Linked DNA regions of Lonchura striata. The protein of the gene in region 2 purifies or fractionates together with the protein of the main gene of each other region. This does not show direct contact. Links are inferred from orthologs where the notes say so. Each region holds a gene or a part of one and is shown on either strand. Other genes may lie near its edges.

Region 1 (7,189 bases), on a different chromosome or scaffold from region 2:
TCCCCGCGCAGCCCCGCGGGCTCCCCGCTCCCCTCCCGTTCCAAAATCCCCCCGGAGCCGGGGAGCGCTGCCCGTGCCCGTGGGGAGCAGCTGCCAGCCCCACCCCGAGCCCCGCAGGCCCCGCCCTGCCCCTCTTCAACCAAAGTTCATCATTCCAAACGCCAGCTCCCCCCGATGTTTTGCACTATTTTTGTGAACAGGTTTTATATAAAAAAAAAAACCAAAAAATACGAAAAAACAAAAAAAAGGCAGCGTTTTGTACAGTGGGTTTGTATTTGATTAATTAATTAATATATTGATTGAGTTCCTCTTCCTGCACTGGGCTCCTGCAGGGCCTCAGGGAGGCTCCCCGGGCTGCTCTGGGGATACGGAACCAAGAGCTGAGGTTCAGTTTGTGACAATCAGTTTATTCCTTACCCCACTCCCACTGTTTTACATAATTCCATCATTAACCACTTGTCTTGACGAGGTTTGGGGGCAGAGGCGCACCAAGAACTGGAGATACTGGGGAGGAGGGAGGGGACCATGGGGGCAGTGCCACCACTGCCACCCCCACTGAAGTGCCTTTGCCCCCCTGCAGGCTCTGAGGTGGGGGGGCGTTTACAGATTCCCAGGGTTGGGCTCAGGGGTTCCTGCTCTGCCTCTTGTGTAACCAGTTTTTGTCTATTTTGGATCTTTTCTAATAAAAGCAGTCAGCAGCAGCTCTGTGGGGTGTGTGCTGTGTCCTGCAGCCCCCACCCCATCCCCAAACCAGTCCCCAGCTCAGTGCCCGGGCCTGGCCACAGTAGCTCTTTATTAACAGCACCGAGGGAGGGAGCAGCTCCAGCCTCACCGTTACTTCCACAGCTTCTTGATAGACATGTTCTTCTCACTGTCCTTCTGCATCACCTGGGGGACAGGACAGGGATGGGTCCAACATTCATCGTCCAAATTGGGTGTTAATTACCCCAAAAACACCCCCAGACTGAGTGTCAGCCCTGCACAGGGAAGGTTTAGCAGCCTCTGCCATGTCACTCACACATTAACACCCCTTTGTTTGTGCTCCTGGCAAACGCCACCCAGGACACTGTGTGCCCCCATCAGCCCCCACTGTCACCTCTCCCCTGGCACCCACCTTGGCCACGGCCATCTCGAAGTCCTCCTGTGTGACGTGCACTCTCCTCTCCCTCAGTGCATACATCCCTGCCTCTGTGCACACACCCTGAGGGGACAGGAGGGGAACATCAGCCAGTGCCCCCCTTGGCAGCACCCCTGTCCCCAGAGCCCCCAGCTCACCTTCACCTCAGCCCCCGAGGCCCCCGGCATCAGCTCCGCGATTTTGCGCAGGTTGATGCCCCGGGTCAGGTTCATCTTCCGGGAGTGGATCTTGAGGATGTCCAGGCGGGCCTGGAGCAGGGCACAGGGAGGGTTGGAGCCCAGGAATGGCTCCCAGGGAGGGTAGGGACAGCAGGGACAGGGCCAGCTGGGGGTGGCTCTGGTACCTCCTCGTTGGGAGGGGGGAACTCAATTTTCCTGTCGATGCGGCCGGGGCGCAGCAGGGCAGAGTCCAGGATGTCGATCCTGTTGGTGGCCATGATCACCTGTGCAGGGGGACAGCTGTCACCACCCTGTGCACCGAGGGGCTGGCAGGACCCCGGGCAGGGCCGGCCCCTCTACCTTGATGTTCTTGGTGGCCTCGAAGCCGTCGAGCTGGTTGAGGAGCTCGAGCATGGTGCGCTGCACCTCGCTGTCGCCGCCAGAGCCGCCCTCCAGGCGGGAAGAGCCGATGGAGTCGATCTCGTCCATGAAGATGATGGAGGGCGCGTGCTCCCGCGCCATCACAAACAGCTCCCGTACCATGCGGGCCCCTGCGGGCAGCGGGCTCAGCCTGGCCCCGAGCCCAGCCGGCCCCGAGGAGCCCCGGAGCCACCCCCGCCCCGTTACCTTCCCCGATGAACTTCTGCACCAGCTCGGAGCCCGACACGCGGATGAAGGTGCAGTCGGTGTGGTGGGCCACGGCCCTGGCCAGCAGCGTCTTCCCCGTGCCGGGGGGGCCGTAGAGCAGCACCCCCTGCAATGGCCACGCCGCCCTCAGAGCCCGCCGGGGGACACGGCGCGGCCCTGGGGCTCCCCAGAGCTCCCCGAGCTCCTCCACTTGCCTTGGGCTGGGCGATGCCCAGTGCCTCGAAGAGCTCTGGGTGCTTCACGGGCAGCTCGATGACCTCTTTGATCTCCTTGATCTGCTTGTCCAGGCCCCCGATCATCTCGTAGGTGGAGTCTGGGACCTTCTCCACCATCATGAGGGACACAAGCGGGTCCACCTTGTTGGGCAGGATCTTGTGCAGGGTGTAGCTGTCATTGCGCAGGGCCACACGGCAGTTCGGGGTCACCTGTGGGGACAGCACGGGGGGCTAGGTGTCTCTGCCTGCCCTGGGGACCCCCACAGCCCCGGGGCACTCACATCATTGATGTCAATGTTCTTGTCCACATCCACCACAAACTTCCCCTCTGGGTGCACCTGTAAAGGAGCAAAGACCCCCGGGAATTCTTTCCCTGGGAATTCGCTGCTGAGGAACATCCCCATGGCCTGGGAGGAGCAGGAGCCAGGAGCTCCAACCCCACTGGCCACCCAGGGTAGCCCCAGGCCCAGCAGAGCCAAACCAAAGAGCTCCTCTGCACAAGGAGCTCCCACCCCACATCCCTGAGCTGTCCCACAGCCCCAGCCCAGCCCCGGCACCTGGGGGCAGCTCAGCCTCGTACCTTGACCAGCACCTTCTTCTTGTCCATGGCTCTCACCACCTCTCCCACATAGGATCCCTGCTCCTGCAGCAGCTGCAGCTCCTCCCGCAGCAGCCGCACTGGGGCAGGGACAGCTCAGCATCAGCCCTGGGCCTGAGGGCTGCCACACCCCCAGGCCCAGAGCCCCCAGAGCCCTCAGGCCCGGCCCAGCCCAGGAGAGCAGGAGTTGCTCCAGGCCGTACCCTTGGCGTTGAGCTCGTTCCTCTGCGCCTGCAGCCGCCGCAGGTTCTGGCTCTTCTCATTCACGATGAGCTGAAGGGAAAGGCTTTGCTGAGCGGCCTGGGGCTCAGCCACACCCAGCACATGGCTTCCAGCATGGAATTATAGAAGGGTTTGCATTGGAAAAGATTTCAGAGCTTGTCTCATCCCACCCCTGCCATAGCAGGGACACCTTCCACTATCCCAGGCTGTTCCACGTCCCCTCCAGCCTGGCCTTAGGCACTGCCAGGGCTCTGGGGGCACCACAGCTGCTCTGGGCACCCTGTGCCAGGGCCTGCCCACCCTCCCAGGGAACAATTCCATCTCAATATCCCACCCATCCCTGCCCTCTGGCAGCTGGGACAGGAGCAGCCCCTCAGCCAGGGCGCAGCAGCCCCAGCTCAGGGCACAGCCCCACCTCGTGTCCCCAGCGCCCCAGGGAGAGCCCTGCCTGCCCACAGCGCTGGGACAGGGGCCGGGACACGGCCACAGCATCCCGACAGCGGCCCGGTGTGCCCCGCGGCTGTGCTCACCTGCAGCTCCTCGATCTTGGACAGGTAATACTGCCGGAGCCCCGAGCCGCCCTTGCCGTCGTCCATCTCCATCTGGGGCAGCAGAGCTGAGCGACCGCCGGCACCCGCCGCGCCCCGCCGGGCCCGACTGCCCAGCACCACCGCGCCCGGGCCCCGGCTCCCCTTCCCCTCTCCCGGGTGTCCCTCCCCTCCCCGCACTGCCTGCCCGGCACCCCCCAGCCGAGTCCGGGTCCCCCGTGTCCCGTCCTGCCCACAGCAGCCCCGGCTCCCGCGCCCTGCGAGTGCCCCGGGCCCGGTCCCATCCGATCCTGACCCCGGTCCCGATCACATCCCGATCCCGATGCCGGTCCCGGTCCCGTCCCGCCGCTCAGGCTCCGCCGCCTTCCCCGAGACCCGCCGAGTCACGACGCTGCCGGGCCCGAGCAGCCGCGGCCGCAGCACACCGCTCGGGCAGCAGGACGCGCCCCCGTCCCTCCCCAGCCCCGCTGCTCCCCCGCCCAGTCACGGCCGGCCGCACCTGCTCGGGCCCGTCCAGCGCCATCTTCTCCGCCGGCATCGGCTCCGCCGGAGATGGCGCCGCGCCCCGCCGCCGGCCTGTGGCGTCACTTCCGGCTCCGGGAACACAGCGGGCGGCCCAGCGCGCATGCGCAGTGTGGGCCCCTCGTGTCGGCACCGCGCTGCCAGCTCGGAGCGGCCAGAGGTGCTGTGTCCGTGTGGGAAAGCGCCGGAGGGGAAGGACAGGCCCGTGACCGCATCACCGAGCGGGCCCGGTACTGTGCCCGCACCTCCGAGCTGTCCGCTATCCTTCTCCTTCTGCCGCCCGCAGGCTGCGGAGGAGGGCTGCGCCGCTCCTGAAATGTCGGCCAGGGCGGGAGGAAGCGGAAGCTAAGGGGTTCGCGCAGGGCACGCCGGGAAGGCGGTGCGGGCACGCGGCGGGACCGGGAGCAGGAACAGGAGCAGGGTCGGGATCGGGGCCTGGGGCTGGATCGGGGCCTGGGGCTGGATCAGGATCGGGGCCTGGGGCTGGATCGAGGTCTGGGGCTGGATCGGGGCCTGGGGCTGGATCAGGATCGGGGCCTGGGGCTGGATCGAGGTCTGGGGCTGGATCGGGGCCTGGGGCTGGATCAGGATCGGGGCCTGGGGCTGGATCGAGGTCTGGGGCTGGATCGGGGCCTGGGGCTGGATCAGGATCGGGGCCTGGGGCTGGATCGAGGTCTGGGGCTGGATCGGGGCCTGGGGCTGGATCGAGGTCTGGGTCTGGTGCTGGCTCGGGGTCTGGGTCTGGGGCTGGATCGGGGCCTGGGGCTGGGTTGGGGTCTGGGTCTGGGGCTGCATCGAGGTCTGGGGCTGGGGCTGCATCGGGTCCTGGGGCTGCATCGAGCTCTGGGTCTGGGGTTGGATCGGGGCCTGGGGCTGGATCGGGATTGGGGTCTGGGTCTGGGGTTGGATCGGGGCCTGGGGCTGTATCGCTGTCTGGGTGGCGGTCTGGGTCGGGGGCGGGGGCTGGGGCTGGGTCGGGGCCTGGGCCTGGGGCTGGGTCTGGACCGGGATCGGGATCTGGACCGGGGTCTGGGTTTGGGTCTGGGTCGGGGCCTGGGGTTGGATCGGGGCCTGGGTCTGGGTCGGGTCAGTGTCTGGGGGCGGTGGCTTGGGCTGGGGGAGGGGGTTCGGGGGTGTCAGGGCGAGGGGTGTGGAGCTCGGGTGATCCGAGGCCTCAGGGGGACAACGGGGCCGAAACGTGCCTCGGCTGGGCCTGAGGGGCAGGGCCGGGAGCAGTGAGGGGGCGCTGGGGGGCCCTGGGAGGGCAGTGAGGGAGGAACCGGAGGGGCACTGGGAGGGGTAAGGCAGGGAGAGAGCTGGAGGGACTCAGGGGGCAGCGACGGAGGCCGGTCTCCCCTGCAGTGCCTCGAGTGCCTCGGGGGCCCAGGCCACCCCTCAGCCCCGTTTCCCCCCCAGGCTTGAGCCCTTGGCTGGCAGCACATCCCAGCCCCCCCAAGGGGCCTCCCCGCCTCCACCATGGGCAAGAAAAGCAAACTGGGCAAGAGCCGGCGGGACAAGTTCTACCACCTGGCCAAGGAGACGGGTGAGGGCCGAGCCCAGTGCCGGGGGCAGGGGGCTGTGGTCCCGGGCACCCCCAGAACCACCCTCCTGCTGTCCCCCAGGCTTCCGCTCCCGCTCCTCCTTCAAGCTGCTGCAGCTCAATCGGAAGTTCCAGTTCCTGCAGAAGGCCCGGGCCTTGCTGGACCTGTGTGCGGCTCCCGGCGGCTGGTGAGTGGGGACAGCCACCCCCAGTGCCACCAGCCGCCGGGGGTCTGTGCTGTGGGACCCCTGTGCTGCACACCGAGCCCTGGGAGCGCAGTCCTGGCTGAGCTCCCCTGGGCTGCTGCTGCAGCTTTGCTCCTCTCTGTGCTTCCCAGGCTTCAGGTGGCTTCCAAGTTCATGCCGGTGTCCAGCCTGATCATCGGTGAGCACTGATCTGTCCCCACAGCTGGGACAGTCCCTGGGTGTGACAAAGGGCGTCCAGGGAGGAGGAGGGGCTGGGTGGGGAAGCCACTTGGCATGGGCTGGGTCCCTTTTGAGGGGATTTGCTGTGTTTCTTCAACAGGGGTGGACTTGGTGCCTATCAAGCCCATTCCCAACGTGGTGACGCTGCAGGAGGACATCACCACCGAGAAGTGCCGCCAGGTACTGGCCTGGGGCTGCAGGTGCCCTTGGTGGCAGGGGGGTCACAGGGGATGGGCTGGGGTCCTCAGAGAGGGACGAATGTGTGTCCCTGTCCCACAGGCCCTGCGCAAGGAGCTGCAGACGTGGAAGGTGGACGTGGTGCTGAACGATGGAGCGCCCAACGTGGGAGCCAGCTGGGTGCACGACGCCTACTCACAGGGTGGGGACACTGGGACAGCTCACTGCCCTTACAGGGTCCTAGGCTGCTGTGGGTTGGGAGGGACCTTAAAGCCCATTCAGTGCCAGCTCCAGCCCCGTGCTGGGACATCTTCCCCTGTCACAGGGTGCTCCAAGCCCCATCCAGCCAGGCCTTTGGGATGGGGCAGCCACGGCTTCTCTGGGAAACCCATTCCAGCCTGTCTCCACCCTCCCAGGGAAGGGTCATTCCCTCACTCCCTGCTCTCTCCTGCTGCAGCCAACCTGACCCTCATGGCCCTGAAGTTGGCCTGTGAGTTCCTGTGCAAGGGTGGCTGGTTCATCACCAAGGTTTTCCGCTCCCGGGATTACCAGTCCCTGCTGTGGATCTTCCAGCAGTTCTTCCAGAAGGTCCAGGCCACCAAGCCCCAGGCCTCCCGCAACGAGTCTGCCGAGATCTTTGTGGTGTGCCAGGGTGAGCATCCAGGGGCATCTGGAGTGGCTGGGGTGGGGCTGGGGGAATATGCTGTTGGCTGTAATTACTCCATCCCAGGAGGAATGTTTTTGATGGATCTGATTTCTCCTGGGACAGTGGAATGGCTCTGAGCCCTCTCCCCAGAGAAGTAGCTCTGATTCCTCCATTCCAGCAGGAGTGGTTCTGATTCCTTCATTCTGGCTGGCTCTGATCCCTCTGTCCCAGAGGAATGTTTCTCATGGCTCTCATCTCTTCATCCCAGGTTATCAGGCTCCAGACAAAATTGACAGCAAGTTTTTTGACCCCAAATACGCCTTTAAGGATGTGGAGGTTGCCACCAAGTCTG
Region 2 (6,151 bases):
ATTATTTCTATAAAATGATGGATTACTGTTACGACAGGGAGAAATTTAGGTTTTAACCTGTACAATACAAACATTTTTCTGCTGAACTCAATGGCTGCTCAGCAGCTTTTTTCAGACTTTTTTTCATCAACAAAATGCTGTGGAAAATCTGTATAATTTCTTAGGCCCTGCAATAAATTTTACAGTAAGTTTCCATGTTCCTTTTGTAACTGAATCTGAATACCACAGAGCTGAGCTGCAGAAGCTGACTTACAGAGCAAGAGCTCCACCGTCAGGCCACTTGCCCAAGGCAGAGAGCAGCAGCCACATCCTTTAACTGGACCTGTGGCTGCTACTCCATCAAAACTCAAGGTCGCATCTGCGGTCCAGTCCCAGCCACCTGAAAACAGCTTTGCTCAGCTTTTGTCCTGGCAGAGATGCTGCAGGCCAACTGTGAAGCGACACTACCTGTGAAACAAGTCACTGTGACATCCCCAGACTGGAGGGAACTGGTGCACCCTTCTCCCTTCACAGGACACCAATTTCCCTTGGATGGAGAACACAGCCCTCCTTGTCTACCAGCTAAAAGCCAAACGCAGGATATTTTAGAAAGGTCAGAACGCATTTATTGACAGATACGTGTGTGAATAGAGCACCGGGCAGGAGGCTGGCAGTGACAGTCCCTTCCCACGCCTCGGTGGGCATCTTCAGCCCGTGCTGCACACTGTCTCTCACGCCTTCTTTCTCCTGCCCGCGCCGGCACCACCGCCCGCAGCCTTCTGCTGCTGCGGCTGCCGCCGGGCTCCGCTCTTCTTGCCGCTGCGCCCAGGCCGCTGCTGCCGGCGGCCGCGCTTGCCCCGCTTCGACTGCTTCTTGCCCTTGTTGGCAGCGGCCGCCTCGGCTTCCTCCTGCCGCAGCTGCTTGTTGACGGCGCGGGTGATGTCGAGCACCGGCTTCTTGCTGCCCATGTCCCGCAGCAGCTCCAGCTGCCGGCTGCGCTCGGCCGCCAGGTTGCCCAGCAGCGGCTCGAAGCGGCGCTTCTTGCCGCCGCTGCGGGAGGGCGGCTCCGCCGACTCCTTCGGCAGGCGCGGCTGGAAGCGGCCGAGCGAGGCGGTGGAGACGCGGGCGACGCGGGCGACCCGGCGCAGCTCGTCGCGGTCCTGGTGGCCGGTGGGGTGCAGGGGCGCGGCGGGCACGGCGCTCCCGGCGCGGTGGGCTCGGGCCAGGTTGCGCAGCCGGTTCAGCTCGTTGCGCGCCACCCGCTCCCGCTTCTCCCGCCGCAGCCGGGCGAACTGATCCTCCTCGGGGTCGGCGCCCGCCGGCACCTCCGCCAGCCAGGCGCGGGACGGGTCTCCGCCCGCCCGCCGGTAGCCCCAGCGCCGCCGCCACTCCTTGGCCTGCTCGTCCCACACCAGCGAGGTTTTCTTCTTGCGGCGGATGCCCTTCAGCCGCGCGAACTGCTCCCAGCGCGTCGGCGGCCGCGGTTTCGGCGGCGGCTTCTCCCGCGGCAGGCGGAACGTGGGCTCGGGCAGCTGCGCCACCAGCGGGCCCCCGGCGCCGCCGGCGCGCTCGGCCGGCAGCTCCCAGAGCCGGGACACGAGCAGCTGCGTGTTGTCCCGGGCCAGCGCCTGCAGCAGCGCCTCCCGCCGCGGGCCGGCCCCGCGCAGCGCCGCCGCCGGCGGGGGGTTGCGGTCCACGGCCAGCAAATTGCCCAGGTCGTACTCCAGCTCCAGCTCCTTTTCCACCGTGATGCTCCGCCGCTTCTCCGCCTCCTGCTCCTCGGCGGCCGCCAGCACCGCCTCCACCCGCACGGCCGCCATGGCAGCGGCTACACGTGCGAGCGGCGCCGCCGCTGCCCCGGAGCACGGAAAGCTCCGCCGGGTCAGCGCGCCGGAACCGCCGGGCCCAGAACCGCCGGGCCCTCGGGCGGGACGGGCGCAATGCCCGCCGGGAGATGTAGTCCCGCCGCGCCGGCCCGCCAGAGGGCGCCGCGGCTCCCCGCGGCCTGCCGGAGGAGCCCTGCTTTGCCAGGGAAGCGGCTTATGGACGTGCCCTGCCAGTCACAGAATCAATTGGGCTCGAAAAGCCCTCTGAGGACATCAAGTCAAAGCTGTGACCAAACATCACCATGTCAGCTAGAGCAGGAAACTGAATGCCACGTCCAGTCTTTCATTAAAAAACTTTAGGGACAGTGACTCCACCACCTCCCTAGGCAGCTCATTCCACTGTTTAATCAACCTTTCTGTGAAGAAATTATTTCTAATACTTGAACTGAGCCTCCCCTGGTGCAGTTCAAGGTTATATCACTAGCTGCCTAGCAGAAGAGGCCAAACCCTACCTGGCTACAACCTCCTTTCACCTAGTTGTAGTGAAGGATAAGATCGCGCCTGAGCCTCTTCTCCAGGCAAAACAGCCCCAGCTCCCTTGGCCGCTCCTCGTGGGACTTCACCTTCTGGACCCCTCACCTGTGGTACCGATGATCACCAATGATACTGATGAAATCCTCTGTGACCCCCAAGCTGGGGTTGTGTGGGGTTCGGGGTGGCCCCAAATCTGTCTCATGCTGCTACCATGAGTGGTGCTGAGGTGGAACATACGTGGGAAGACTCAGGACATGAAGGGAGGCAAATGCCCAAAGCAGAGTGGTAGGACCATTGTAGGGTCAATGGGGCCCTGCAGATTCCCTTGCCTTTGCCTGCAATAGGGATGTGCTGTGGCATCCAAACACCGAGACGGTGACACAGGAACATATTTTTTTCCTTTTTTTTAATTTTTTTTTTTTTGGTGTGTATGTGTGTGTGTGTTGTTTGTTTATGCGCTTCTTTTACTGATTTTTTTAAAGCATATGATTCTTTCTGATGCTGTTTGCTGTAGAACAGTCCCACTGAGTGCTCTTTCAATTCAAAATTCAAGTGCTGTATTGCAACTCCACCGAGACTGACACAGGTGTTGTGGGTAGATCTCCCTCCAGAGAAGGGAGGGGTGGAACAGCATTTGGGAAGCAGTATCATCTGGCAGATGTCTCAACAGACATAATTATAAGTGAGGTGATTGGGGTGATATGGTGTGCTCCTAAAGGTCAGCTGGGTCACAGATACCTCCATGCTATTTTTAAATAAATGGGCTGCAGAAGAATCCTTTTATAGCTATACAGTGATTTGGCTTGTGTGGCCATGATATTTTGAGCTGATCCCTGGTGCCCTAAAAACAAGCTCATGAGAACACTTAGCTGTAGTGGAGGGAAATTATGGGTGTTTTTATACAAGGTATAGTTATCTTCTAAGTTATTATTCCATTTTTGCCTTTAGATTAGTTTTGGAGTGATGGAAATTATTCTGAGTGTAGTGCCACAGCAATGTTATTGAAATTAAACAAAACATTGAAGACAAATACCTGATTCTTAAATTCTAATGGCTAGCATAACACAACTTTGCCACAGTCTAACCAAGAATTTTTTTTCTCCCCAAGTCAGCCGTTTTGAGCATGACTTGTATACTGTGGAGCAACAGAATCCCTATGTATTTAAATCCAAGCTTGTTGGCATGGACTATTTTCTTGTTTACCACAAGATGGCATTGGATAATATTTTGTACCTTCTCTTGGGTAGCTCATACTTTACCCTGGAATTGCAGATAAAATTAATTTTAAAGACAGTTTTTTGAAGAGGTACATGGGCACTATCTAGATTTAGGCATAAATTTGAACTTTTGGACTGCAAGGTTCACCATTTTGGTAGTCTGGTTAATACCTTTACACTGATCCAGGTACCCTCCTCTTTTATCCTTATGCAGATATCTTGGAGTTCTTTTGGTCTGTATTTGTACAAAGTCCAGAATGCATCAGGTGGATGCCTTGGGCTGAGAGGATGTCATCTCTTGCACTTCCAAAGTTGCTTGAACTGTTAATGATTCCCCCTGGAATAGCAGAAGGAGCGCATGTCAGGAATTGATGTTGCTTTACCTGAAAACATGTAGAGGAATCTCAGAAGTAAAAATTACTTTCTGGAAACTGCTGTGTTGATCTAAATTCCAGCCTTTTTATGTATTTCAGGAATCTGCACCTCAGAGCACAACCTTGCTTTTGGTGCTTGCAGTTTGTGATTTCACAATGTGGTTGAGAAGGTGGTTGTTGGAAGAATATTGGAAAAGATTTATAAACAGAGATTTGTAAATAATCATGGATATTCTGAGAAACTGTCCCATTCTGAGGAGGGGCTTCTGAGCTGACTGTAGTAACCATAGCCATGCTTTGAGCTTGTACTCCCAGCTTAGAGCTGGGGATTGCAACCAGGTGCATGGCTTCTGTCAAAGGAATAGATGTGTGTGTACTTCTGCAAATCTGGGCTTTCCAAAAGATGAAAGGGTAATACCAATGTTCAGTAATAGAAACAGCTTTTAGGAAATGAATGCTTTTATTATCTCATGTTTAATTCATTATTTTAAAAAGACTCTTCCAGCAATTTTTAAAAGAATGAATTTTTAGAAGTGTTTATTCATTTTGATCATCTCTGTTCTGGGGTTCCTGTGTTCCTTTTGGCATATCAGATATCACATTTCACAGGCTGCCTATGGGTTGTGCTCAGATAGAGGGCTCAGCAACATCTAACTGTGGGCACTTACAGTCTGTAGATAATGAAACAATTTCATCATTGCTCTCCCTTTCCCTGAGGTACTTTATCTCTTCAGTATGAACAATAGCAATATATGTCACAGTATGTGCATATATGTACTTAATGCTTACTGTTTGCTTGCTTTCTTTACTTGGATGTGACCAGGGAGGGTTTGGATTCTCTTGCAAAGTGCAGTTTTATTTTGAGGTGAAGAAGGCTGTAGAGTATTGGGTCTTTTTTTTTTTTTTAACCACACAAAAAATGTAGCTGCATGAGAAATACAGTAGAGTATAATTTTCAGAAACACTAGTTCAAAAGATTATTTGAAAGCATAATGCAGAATATACGTGATGCACCAAAAGTACTACAACATCAATGTGACATACCATCAGGTTTGTTTTTCTTGTGAGAAAGAATAAAGAATTATCCTACTTAACTTTTATTTTTATACTTTCTGTTCAGCTGGGCTGCAACTTGAGGTTTGTGTTTGATAGGAGCTGCTCTCATGTACAGGATTAATGTCTCACTGTTAGTGATACCATTAACTTAGATTTACTTTTCAAACTTTTGCCAATTACCTCTGGATGGCAGTAGATGTAGTTATAAGATGAGTCAATCAATTCATAAGCCTGCTGTGAGGATTGTTATGAAGAACACTTTTATCAGGCAAACTCAAAGTGATGATAATTTTGGAAAATAGTAGAAAGTGCCCTTAAAATATCCACACTATCTCAGAATAATTCCCTTCCACTGACTTTGTTCAGTACATTTTGAAGTAAAAATCTGTGCTGTAGAATTTTTTTTGTAAAACGGAGAAGTTGTTTGCTCACTGAAGCTATATTAAGTACAACAATTTATGGACCCAATTCTGCTTCCTGATACATTTTTTTAACCCCTGTAACATACATTTAATGTATTTCAGTATGTGTCCTATTTCCTGGGACATATAAGTGCTTTTTCAGACCAAATAGCAAAACACAGCAATGCAAATTTGACTAAACAGACTCTTTCCTAGTTGCTAGTCCATATAATGTAAAAGACCTGTCTGTAAGGAATAAAAAACTTACAAAGATTTAAGGCACCATCTTTTATAAAATGTGTGAGTTGACTTCTGCAGTATAACAAAAATACATCTGGTAGTCAGAGCTTTTCCTATTACAGGAATTATATTACTCATTACAGATAATGGGGCATTCCTTCTCATGGTTTCACCACTGTAAGGCCTTATTAGGAACCTCATAGGGGACATGCTTAATCTTAAGCAAGCTGTGTTGATGGAGATGATATTATCTGTGCTCACACACTTCAAAACATTTCTGGTTGGTTTGTAAATGGGCAGGTTTCATTTTCCTGTCCAAAGATTTCATGTGATTATAGCACAGTGCTGTATTTATGAAAAAAAAAAAAAACCCAACAAACAAAAAAACCCAAACTGTGCAGATGAAAGTCAGGAGGCTGTAGCTCTAGTTGCAAAACCTAAGATTAGGTAGTTGGAATGCAGTTACAAGTGGATAACTAAGCAGAGCTGATTTTTAGTCTAGAAGCCAGAACACAGATAGCTGT
Region 3 (7,697 bases), on a different chromosome or scaffold from region 2:
TGGAATACTGCTTCCATCAGAGCTCAGCAGATGCAGGATTCAAAGGAAGAAACTGGACAAAAAAGTTCACAAGGCAGAACTAGAGGGTGTTTAAAAGAATTAGTTTAGATGAAAAGAAAAAAACAGGGAAAAAAACCCCAAAAAACTAACAAAAGTAGCGTTTTAATAGTGAAAGCATTACCTGCAGAAGAAAAAGAGACCAGAAATTCCCCAAGGGCAACCAAGCAGTATAAAGGAGAGTAAGAAGGAAGGCAGAAAATTAAAATCAGCAAATCCAGCAGCAAGAACTTTGGATGCTAGAATTGCTGTCATCGGAAACTCTGGGAATGGGTTACACAAACACCCACCAGGAAAATCAAGGTAGAGAGGAACAAACCACATAATAAATCATCTATATGTATTTAGGACTAGAAAGGAAATTAGGGCAGGTTCCAAGCCCCATACAGGGTGTCACAGATTTCCTAACTGTGCTATAGAGAAGCACAGCATTATACACTATCTATTAGGACAGCTCAGCTAAAAATACCTTGTCACGCAGAGACACTTTTGCTAAGTAATGTGCATGATAAAAGTCCAAAGGAAGCTCTCTGTTTATATCCAGGCCCCGTGCTGCATCATGCACACGGCTTATGGATGCCACAGATAAAAAGGATATCCTCCTTCTCAATCTCTTCACTAGTTGGCAGTTTAAATTGTTCATCTATATCCAGGTTGAGCTGCAGATCAGGGCCCTCTTCTTCCTTCTGTCCCATTTTCTGCTTGTTTGCCTCTTCTGTTTCTTCTTCCTCCTCCTCTTCACTGTCATCTTCACTGAGGCCTTCCCTAACAACAAAGAACAGGATCACACAGATGCTTCTCAACTACCATTTCTCAGATGGCACAAAATCAGAAGAATAACAACACAGGCTCCTCTTTCCTCGGGAAAGGCTCTACACACTCACCTGTCAGGCTTCTGCTTCAGGGCAGCTTTTTCAATAGGCAGCAGCTAAATAGAGACAAAAGATTAATCAAAAAACATCCACAGTCACCCCTTTACTTCCCACATCTGTGAAATTTACTTGCTCTGTTTAAAAGGGTCAACAAACAAAAGCACTGAACGTTATGCTGGAATCAGCTGTTACTGTTAAACTTTAAATCACTCTTGTGAAGGAAAAAGGGGAAAGTTCTCCACCACCTCACCACCCACTGCCACTAAAGCCATCCTTCCCCCCCAGGCCTGAGGGGTCCTTTCAGCCACCAACATCAAGTATTCCTTGTGTAATTGAGGGCAAGAAGTTCCTACCTCTTCTTCCTCTGATGATGAGGCACCATAATCATCCACCATCTCCTCACTGCTCCCATCCTCCTCCTCCTCCATCTCCCAGCTACTCTCTTCCACCTCACCATCACTGGATAATTCCACATGATTTCCTTTAGGCTGAGTTTTCTTGACTTTGGCTGGAGCCAGCCATTTGGAATTGCCATCACTGAAGCCAGAACGGCCACGGACAGTTTGTCCTGCTGCCTTTACAGCACGTTTATCCTTCTGTGGGGACAGCTGCTCTTCAACTAGAGGCAGAAGAAACAGTCAAAAGTTAGGCATTATTTCCAAAATCAGCTGCTCTGCTTTTTCAGTTGTTACACACAAAGGCCTTAGTCCGAGTCCTGAGCTGCCTGTCCAGAGGGAGGGACTTGCTCTCTACATCTCATAAAGTACTGGGCATGTTCCCACCTCTCCCCCACCGGACCTTTCAGGAGATCTAACTATAATTACCAAATAAAAACACTGCCACAAAATTCTTATGGTTATTTGCTCTGACATATTACAGTATCCTGTCCCGAATCTTTGTCTATCCTTCCTTCTTTCTACTTTAAAAGTTTCCTGGGCTACACAAGATGTAACACACAGACTTAAAAGCCTCAGCTATAAAATCAGCCTGCAACAACCTTTCTGTGAATAAAGAATGAGTAAAAAATGGACTTAACACACAGAAGAGAGACCTTTGACTAGTTCTTCAGACAACGCTGCCTCCTGGCATGGCAGTCACCAGAAATCAGATAAAACTCATTATTATCTATTACAGAGAGCCCAAAAGAAGGCCAAGATGATGAAGGGTCTGGAGGTCAAGCTGTCTGAGGAGCAGCTGAGGTCACTTGGTCTGTTCAGCCTGGAGGAGACTAAGGAGAGACCTCATAGCAGTCTGCAACTTTCTCATGAGGAAGAGGAGGGGCAGGCATTGATCTTTGTGGTGACCCACGACAGGACTTGAGAGACAGGACTTGAGGGTACGGCAATCAAAGTTGTGTCAGGGGAAGGGGGTAGGTTTAGGTTGGATATCAGAAAGATTCTTCACCCAGAGGGCACTGGAACAAGTTCCCAAGGAAGCGATCACAGCACCAAGTCCATCTGAGCTCAAGAAGGGTTTGGACAACACTTTCAGGAACGTGGTGTGACTCTTGGGGCGGTCCTGTGCAGGGCCAGGAGCTGACTTAACTATCTTTGTGGGTCCCTTCCAACTCAGGAAACTCTAGGATTCTGTGATTTAGAACAATGAAATTCCACGCATCCCTTGCCTTGAAAAGGACGCCAGAGAAGTTCGGCGGCGGCAGCGCCCGGGGGGAAGCAGGACTGAGGCCCGCCAGCCCGGTTCGGACCCGCTCCCACTCACCCGTCGGCTCCCGCTCTCCTCCTCCTCGCGGCCTGCTCCCCGCCGCGCCGCCGCCCGCTGCCAGCCGCCGCTTCGCAGCCCTGCACCGGGAGGGGAAGCGCCATCAGCCCCGGCCCGGCCCGCACACCGCGGCCACCGAACCGCCCCCTCACCTCTTTCTGCCGTGACTAGAGAGCTTCTTCCTGCCGGTCTCCGGCTCTGCGGGAAGACACGCGGCGGTGAGGCGGCCGCAGGCGCCGCGGGGCGGCCGCGGGCCGGTCCAGGCCGCACTTACCTGGCGGCAGGAAGCGGGCCAGCTCCACCTCGGCCCCGCGCTGCTTGCGGGCCTTGCGCCCGGGGCCGCGCTTCTCCTTCCTGGTGGGGTCGAGCTTCCGCCCCATGGCCGCGCCGCGGGACCCCGCCGCACGTGCCGCGCTCCCGCCGCCCCGGCGCACGCGCCGCCGCGGGCCCGCCCCCGCGCCGCCCACCCTGGCCCCTGATTGGCCCTGCCGGCAGCGTCAGCGGCGCGCGCCGCCCGCCCCCGGGCGCGCGGGGCCGCCCCGGCGCGGGAACGGCGGCGCCGGGAGCGTCGGGCCGGGCCCGGCAGCGAGGGAGCGGCGCTCCTGCCGCAGGCACCCACGGAGGGGGGAACAGCCCCAAGAGGCAGCAGAGAAAGGCGTGCTGCAGCCGCAGCGGGGAAAGGAGCCACGGCATCAGACTGGTAAGGTAGGGGCGCAGAGGATTAAGCATCTAGCCCAACACTCATGCCAGGCGCAGGGACACCACTCCTGAGACCAGGTTCCTCAATGCCTTATGGAGCCTGGCCTTAAACACTGCCAGGGCTGGGGCATCTACTGCCCCTCTCAGAGGTGTAGGGTACCCCAAAAAGCTGCTCTGATATAGCAAAAAGGCATGGGAACCCTCTTCTTTCAGTCCTGAGACCACATACTTACCCCAGTACACTCATGATACTAGAGACAACAAAATAAAATACAAGGAAATTTTATTTTTCAGTTTTATCAACGTTTTGCTCTGTTTTTTGTTGGTTTTTCATTGTTTGCTTTTGTCTTCAAGCTGCTTTATTAATTGACAAGTCCGGTCAGTTTTTTTATTAAAAAGGATTTTGATGGAGGTAGCTTTGTCTCTGTCCTGGCTTTTGCTTGGTCTTGCCTGCGCACTTGTCTCAGTAAACAAACTCAAAATAAAATTAAGAACAAAACTGGAATTCCAGGCGGAGGCAACGAGCAATGCAGCCAGGTTCTCCATGTAACAGACATGGCGCTGGGGCCTCCAGTCACTATATACAGAGTCCATCATACATCCATCCCCCTCTCTCCTAAACACACTCCTTGCTCCAACGGGCTGGCTGCAGAGGAAGGAGTTTCTTCTCCTTCCAGAGACCTGAGCAGCAGCTTCCATGGAGGGAAACAGCACCCAGTCAGGAATGTCAGGCAGAGGGGTAGAGTGTGAAGGGGTGGGCTAGGGGAGTCACTTCAGCTTGGCCGAAAGGTCAACAGCACTGGGCCAGGAACTCACTGCTGCTGGGCCACCTGTAGGGTGAGAGAGGAGGACCTGAGACTCACGGGCTGGTCACCAGAGCCCAGCCAGGCCCACGGAGGGCCCCTCCCCCCGGAATTTCCTTACTGACCAGAGCGGGTACGTACTTGTTGGGGAGGGGGCGGTGGCGGGGGCTCGCTGCTGCGGTTGGCCAGGCGGCTGAGGATGTTGCGCTCTGACATCTGAAGGCGCACTGCCACAGGGGGGATGCGGGCGATTGTGGCGGGCAGACGAGTCACATCTGCCTTCATGTCACTCAACAGCTCCTCCAGCTGCTTCAGAACTACAAGAGAAAGGGACATCTGTTCAGACGGGAAAGGGACACCCCAGAGGGGACAGCGCTGCTGAACACCTATCCTGCCCCTGTTTAACACACCGCATTACCTTTGTGCAGCACAGCATTGGCTGGTTTATTCCCAGCCATTGATTCCTTGGACAGGTGCTGGTGGCTCTCAGCCAGGCATTCCACCTCTGCAAAACGTGTGTTCAGAGCCATGGATGGGTGAGATGGGTCTTCGGACATGTTCAGATAGGCAGCTCGCCGCAACTGTTCCTCGATCACCAGCGCTTGTTCCAGGAGCTGCAAGGTGGGGCAGGAATGAGTCTTTCAGCAGCTGACTGAGAGGAAGCCTTGTCTGTACCCCCGGTCTCTCCTGAGCCAATTCCCCACCATCTCATAAGGTGAGATTGTGTAGCTGAATCTCCTTTCACCAGCCGGTTTTACTGAGTAGCCCAAAACAATAAGGGTTTCATGAAGCAAAGTCAGATACACAAAAAAACCAGGGTACATTTGGTTTAACAGACTACAACTCCTCTAGTATTTTCATTCGTCCTCTGATTCTTTTTACACATTCTTTATGAGGCAAATGGGACAGTGATTACTCTTTGAACCCAAGGGAAAAGTATTCCATCCTATTTATAGAAAGAGTCTAAAATCTTGTAAGCATTTGGAGAAATCAGCTGGAATCCTGTCAGTGCTGAACTTGCCATTCAATCTACAGTTGATCAGTGTTTTGCCCCAAAACATTGATCTGGTTGCAGCAGACCAAGCAGAAGCTGTGATGAAAACAGCTGCTTGAACCTTAAGCCTCTTGCTTACCAGTTGTTCAACAAACATTTGGATGGAGAGCACTCCCCAATACCATTTCCAGAAAAAAGGAAGCTCCTATCATGGAGCAACTGCATGATCCCGAGATATATTGCTTTTTTTATTACCCCTAAAACAAAAAGGCATTGCATACATTTTTCACTTTCTTGGTGAAAACTCAGAATTGCAAGAACCTGTTCTTAGAGATCCAGGCAGTTATCGCACTAAAGAGAAATCCTTACCTTAAATCTCCTTGCCAAAAACTTATTCTTTATTTCCAGGAAGTTACCCCTGTTCATCTCACCCTTGAAGGGTTCATTGAGGATGGCGTAACGTGGATCATTCTGAATATCCTGCCAACGGGCATAGCCATGACTGAGATGGGATGAGCTCAGGCAAACAAACGCAGTGAAAACAAGGGAATACACAGCCCAGGCAGTACTGTTTTCCAGAGGGGGTGGGGAAAGGGGGTACAGAGAGGGGACAAACAGGAGCCAAGGGGAATGAGAACTATGTTCTGCTTAGTCTTAGCTATGCTGCAGGAAACTCCCCTTCCCACCATCACTTTCACTATTGTGAAGATAAAACAGTCTTTCACTTAACCTATGCCAGTCAGATCCAGAGTGGTCACTTTCACCGTGACAAATTATGTGCAAGCTGGGAGAATGTGTCTCTCATGGCAAGGATACTTGATAATCCCAGCTAGGAGCCAGTAGTCATGACGCCGATGCCAGATCTCATAGGTCTTCTTGGTGACAGTGGCAGCCCGCTCTTCATTCTGCCAGAGGGAGTGTAGTTCTGCAAAGGCGAGAGACACCAGAACAGTTGGAAGTTACTTCACAAACATAAGCAGGCACTTATAAACAAGTTCAAGCAGACAAAGATCACATACCAGTGAAACCACCATCTGCTATGTTGAACATGAAGCGCTGCTTTACTGCCTTCTTGTGCCTTTCATCTACTGAGTCTTTCAGCATCTCTCCATTCTGTAGCATCACCACATCTCTCTTATCATCATCCTTTTTCTCATCTGTACACACAGGAAATTATTAAAACAAACATGGCAGATAGTGCAACAACTTGAATCCACAATGAATCCTTGCAGAAGAAGGGTTAAGGAAGAGAAGGGAGTCATCATGCCTCACCTTTCTCATCCAGAGTGATTATAGGAGGGTCAGGGGGATTTTCAGTAGCTGCTCTGTCTTCCACTTTTTCTGCATCAGCTGCGGGAAAGAAGGGGAACATGAGATGCACAGGAATGTAGCAAGTCCAGAGTTTTGTTCTTCGACCAGTGAAACCCAATACTATTCTGCAAGTTCCCAGTGATTTTCTACATTCAAGCCTATTTCTTTACGATCACGTGCTTTGTACCTTTGCTTTCTACTTCCATTGGTTCATCTGGTCTTTCTTTCACTTCTGTTTCCTCTACTTTTTTTTCATCTGCTTCTGTGGAGTTCACTGGGGATTTTGCTTCCTGGGGCGGTGTCTCCACAGGCTGAGCACACTGCTGAGGACAGAGAGCAGTGAGACACAAAGCATAGCAGTACACGACAACAGAACAGTCACAGTAGTTTAAAAAGTAAAGACACACAAAACTGTGAGGCCAATTCTGAGGACCAGAGGATTATCTTCAATTATCACTCTAAAAACTCATCTCTGCCTCAGCTGAAATGAAGAGAGGGCAGTAGAGAAATTCACAAGAGAAATTACAAGGCAAAAAAGCCAAAACTCACCTCCATAGGGGCCTCTGTTTCAGTAGCAGAGGCACTGAGCTCCTTCTCTGGTTCAGAAGGCTCTCCTTGCTCCTTAGTACTTGCTCCTTCTTCTACTTTTACTCCATCTTCTGTGTATTCCCCATGCCAGAGCAGCACAGCAGACAAAAGAGAAGCAAATCAGTAAGGTCTTCCCTGTTACCAAGACCACTTCTTTGCTTGCAGAGATCAGGCTCATCAAAATGGAACTAACATGACCCTCCCCTTTCCTACCCACTACAAATGCTGGGCTTCTCACTGATGCCAGTTCTTTCCAGGAAAGCCAGTGTCCTCTCTTGCCTTTAAGGGCTTGCAAATGTCTTTGGCAGCCCTCCTAACATGAGAGTAAGTTGATCTACGTCCACCCCCAGACCCCATCACCACAACTCCGGTGAGGGGAGCAGCCAGGCTAAGGTCAGGACGCAGGACTCTGCAAGAGGGGAGCCCTCACCAGGTGCAGGAACAGGAGCCGGTGTATTCGGCTGAGTATCCCCTGGTGTCGAAGGAGTTGGAGTTTTGGGAGAGGGTGAGCTGGGCTGTGAAAGTTTCTTGTTCTCCTCTATCTCTGCCAGTTCTGGCATACTCCAGCGGCCGTTCACATGCTCAAATTCCTGCACCTGCACAAGAGGGAGAGAAAGATGTACCACTGGAGGAGTCATACAAAACTCATTCACA

Evidence for each region.
Region 1: the proteins of RRS1 (region 2) and FTSJ3 purify together in Homo sapiens (affinity purification with mass spectrometry; 3 studies listed by BioGRID and IntAct, counting the BioPlex papers as one, with this or other methods). This does not show direct contact. The link is inferred for Lonchura striata from reciprocal best matches to the Homo sapiens genes RRS1 and FTSJ3.
Region 3: the proteins of RRS1 (region 2) and NOP2 fractionate together in Homo sapiens (co-fractionation; 3 studies listed by BioGRID and IntAct, with this or other methods). This does not show direct contact. The link is inferred for Lonchura striata from reciprocal best matches to the Homo sapiens genes RRS1 and NOP2.

Annotation. Positions count from the first base shown.
Region 1 is NC_134627.1:1,888,167-1,895,355, forward strand, and holds the start of FTSJ3 (pre-rRNA 2'-O-ribose RNA methyltransferase FTSJ3), read left to right. Parts: upstream 1-4,172; 5' UTR 4,173-4,209; intron 4,210-4,335; 5' UTR 4,336-4,428; exon of another isoform or gene 4,429-4,470; intron 4,471-5,465; 5' UTR 5,466-5,525; coding exon 5,526-5,592; intron 5,593-5,671; coding exon 5,672-5,777; intron 5,778-5,926; coding exon 5,927-5,973; intron 5,974-6,114; coding exon 6,115-6,194; intron 6,195-6,293; coding exon 6,294-6,393; intron 6,394-6,648; coding exon 6,649-6,843; intron 6,844-7,105; coding exon 7,106-7,189. Other genes in the region: SMARCD2 (SWI/SNF-related matrix-associated actin-dependent regulator of chromatin subfamily D member 2), read left to right, coding at 1-196; PSMC5 (26S proteasome regulatory subunit 8), read right to left, coding at 835-888, 1,115-1,201, 1,276-1,386, 1,482-1,580, 1,657-1,847, 1,924-2,050, 2,139-2,369, 2,441-2,497 and 4 more.
Region 2 is NC_134603.1:35,123,399-35,129,549, forward strand, and holds RRS1 (ribosome biogenesis regulatory protein homolog), read right to left. Parts: upstream 1,933-6,151; 5' UTR 1,800-1,932; coding exon 711-1,799; 3' UTR 583-710; downstream 1-582. UniProt on the Homo sapiens protein: Involved in ribosomal large subunit assembly. May regulate the localization of the 5S RNP/5S ribonucleoprotein particle to the nucleolus.
Region 3 is NC_134604.1:29,452,945-29,460,641, forward strand, and holds the start of NOP2 (28S rRNA (cytosine(4447)-C(5))-methyltransferase), read right to left. Parts: upstream 3,088-7,697; 5' UTR 3,029-3,087; coding exon 2,923-3,028; intron 2,847-2,922; coding exon 2,801-2,846; intron 2,729-2,800; coding exon 2,649-2,728; intron 1,549-2,648; coding exon 1,283-1,548; intron 986-1,282; coding exon 942-985; intron 823-941; coding exon 656-822; intron 1-655. Other genes in the region: CHD4 (chromodomain-helicase-DNA-binding protein 4), read right to left, coding at 4,160-4,177, 4,292-4,467, 4,569-4,764, 5,514-5,646, 5,961-6,069, 6,164-6,301, 6,417-6,494, 6,643-6,778 and 2 more. UniProt on the Homo sapiens protein: S-adenosyl-L-methionine-dependent methyltransferase that specifically methylates the C(5) position of cytosine 4447 in 28S rRNA. Required for efficient rRNA processing and 60S ribosomal subunit biogenesis.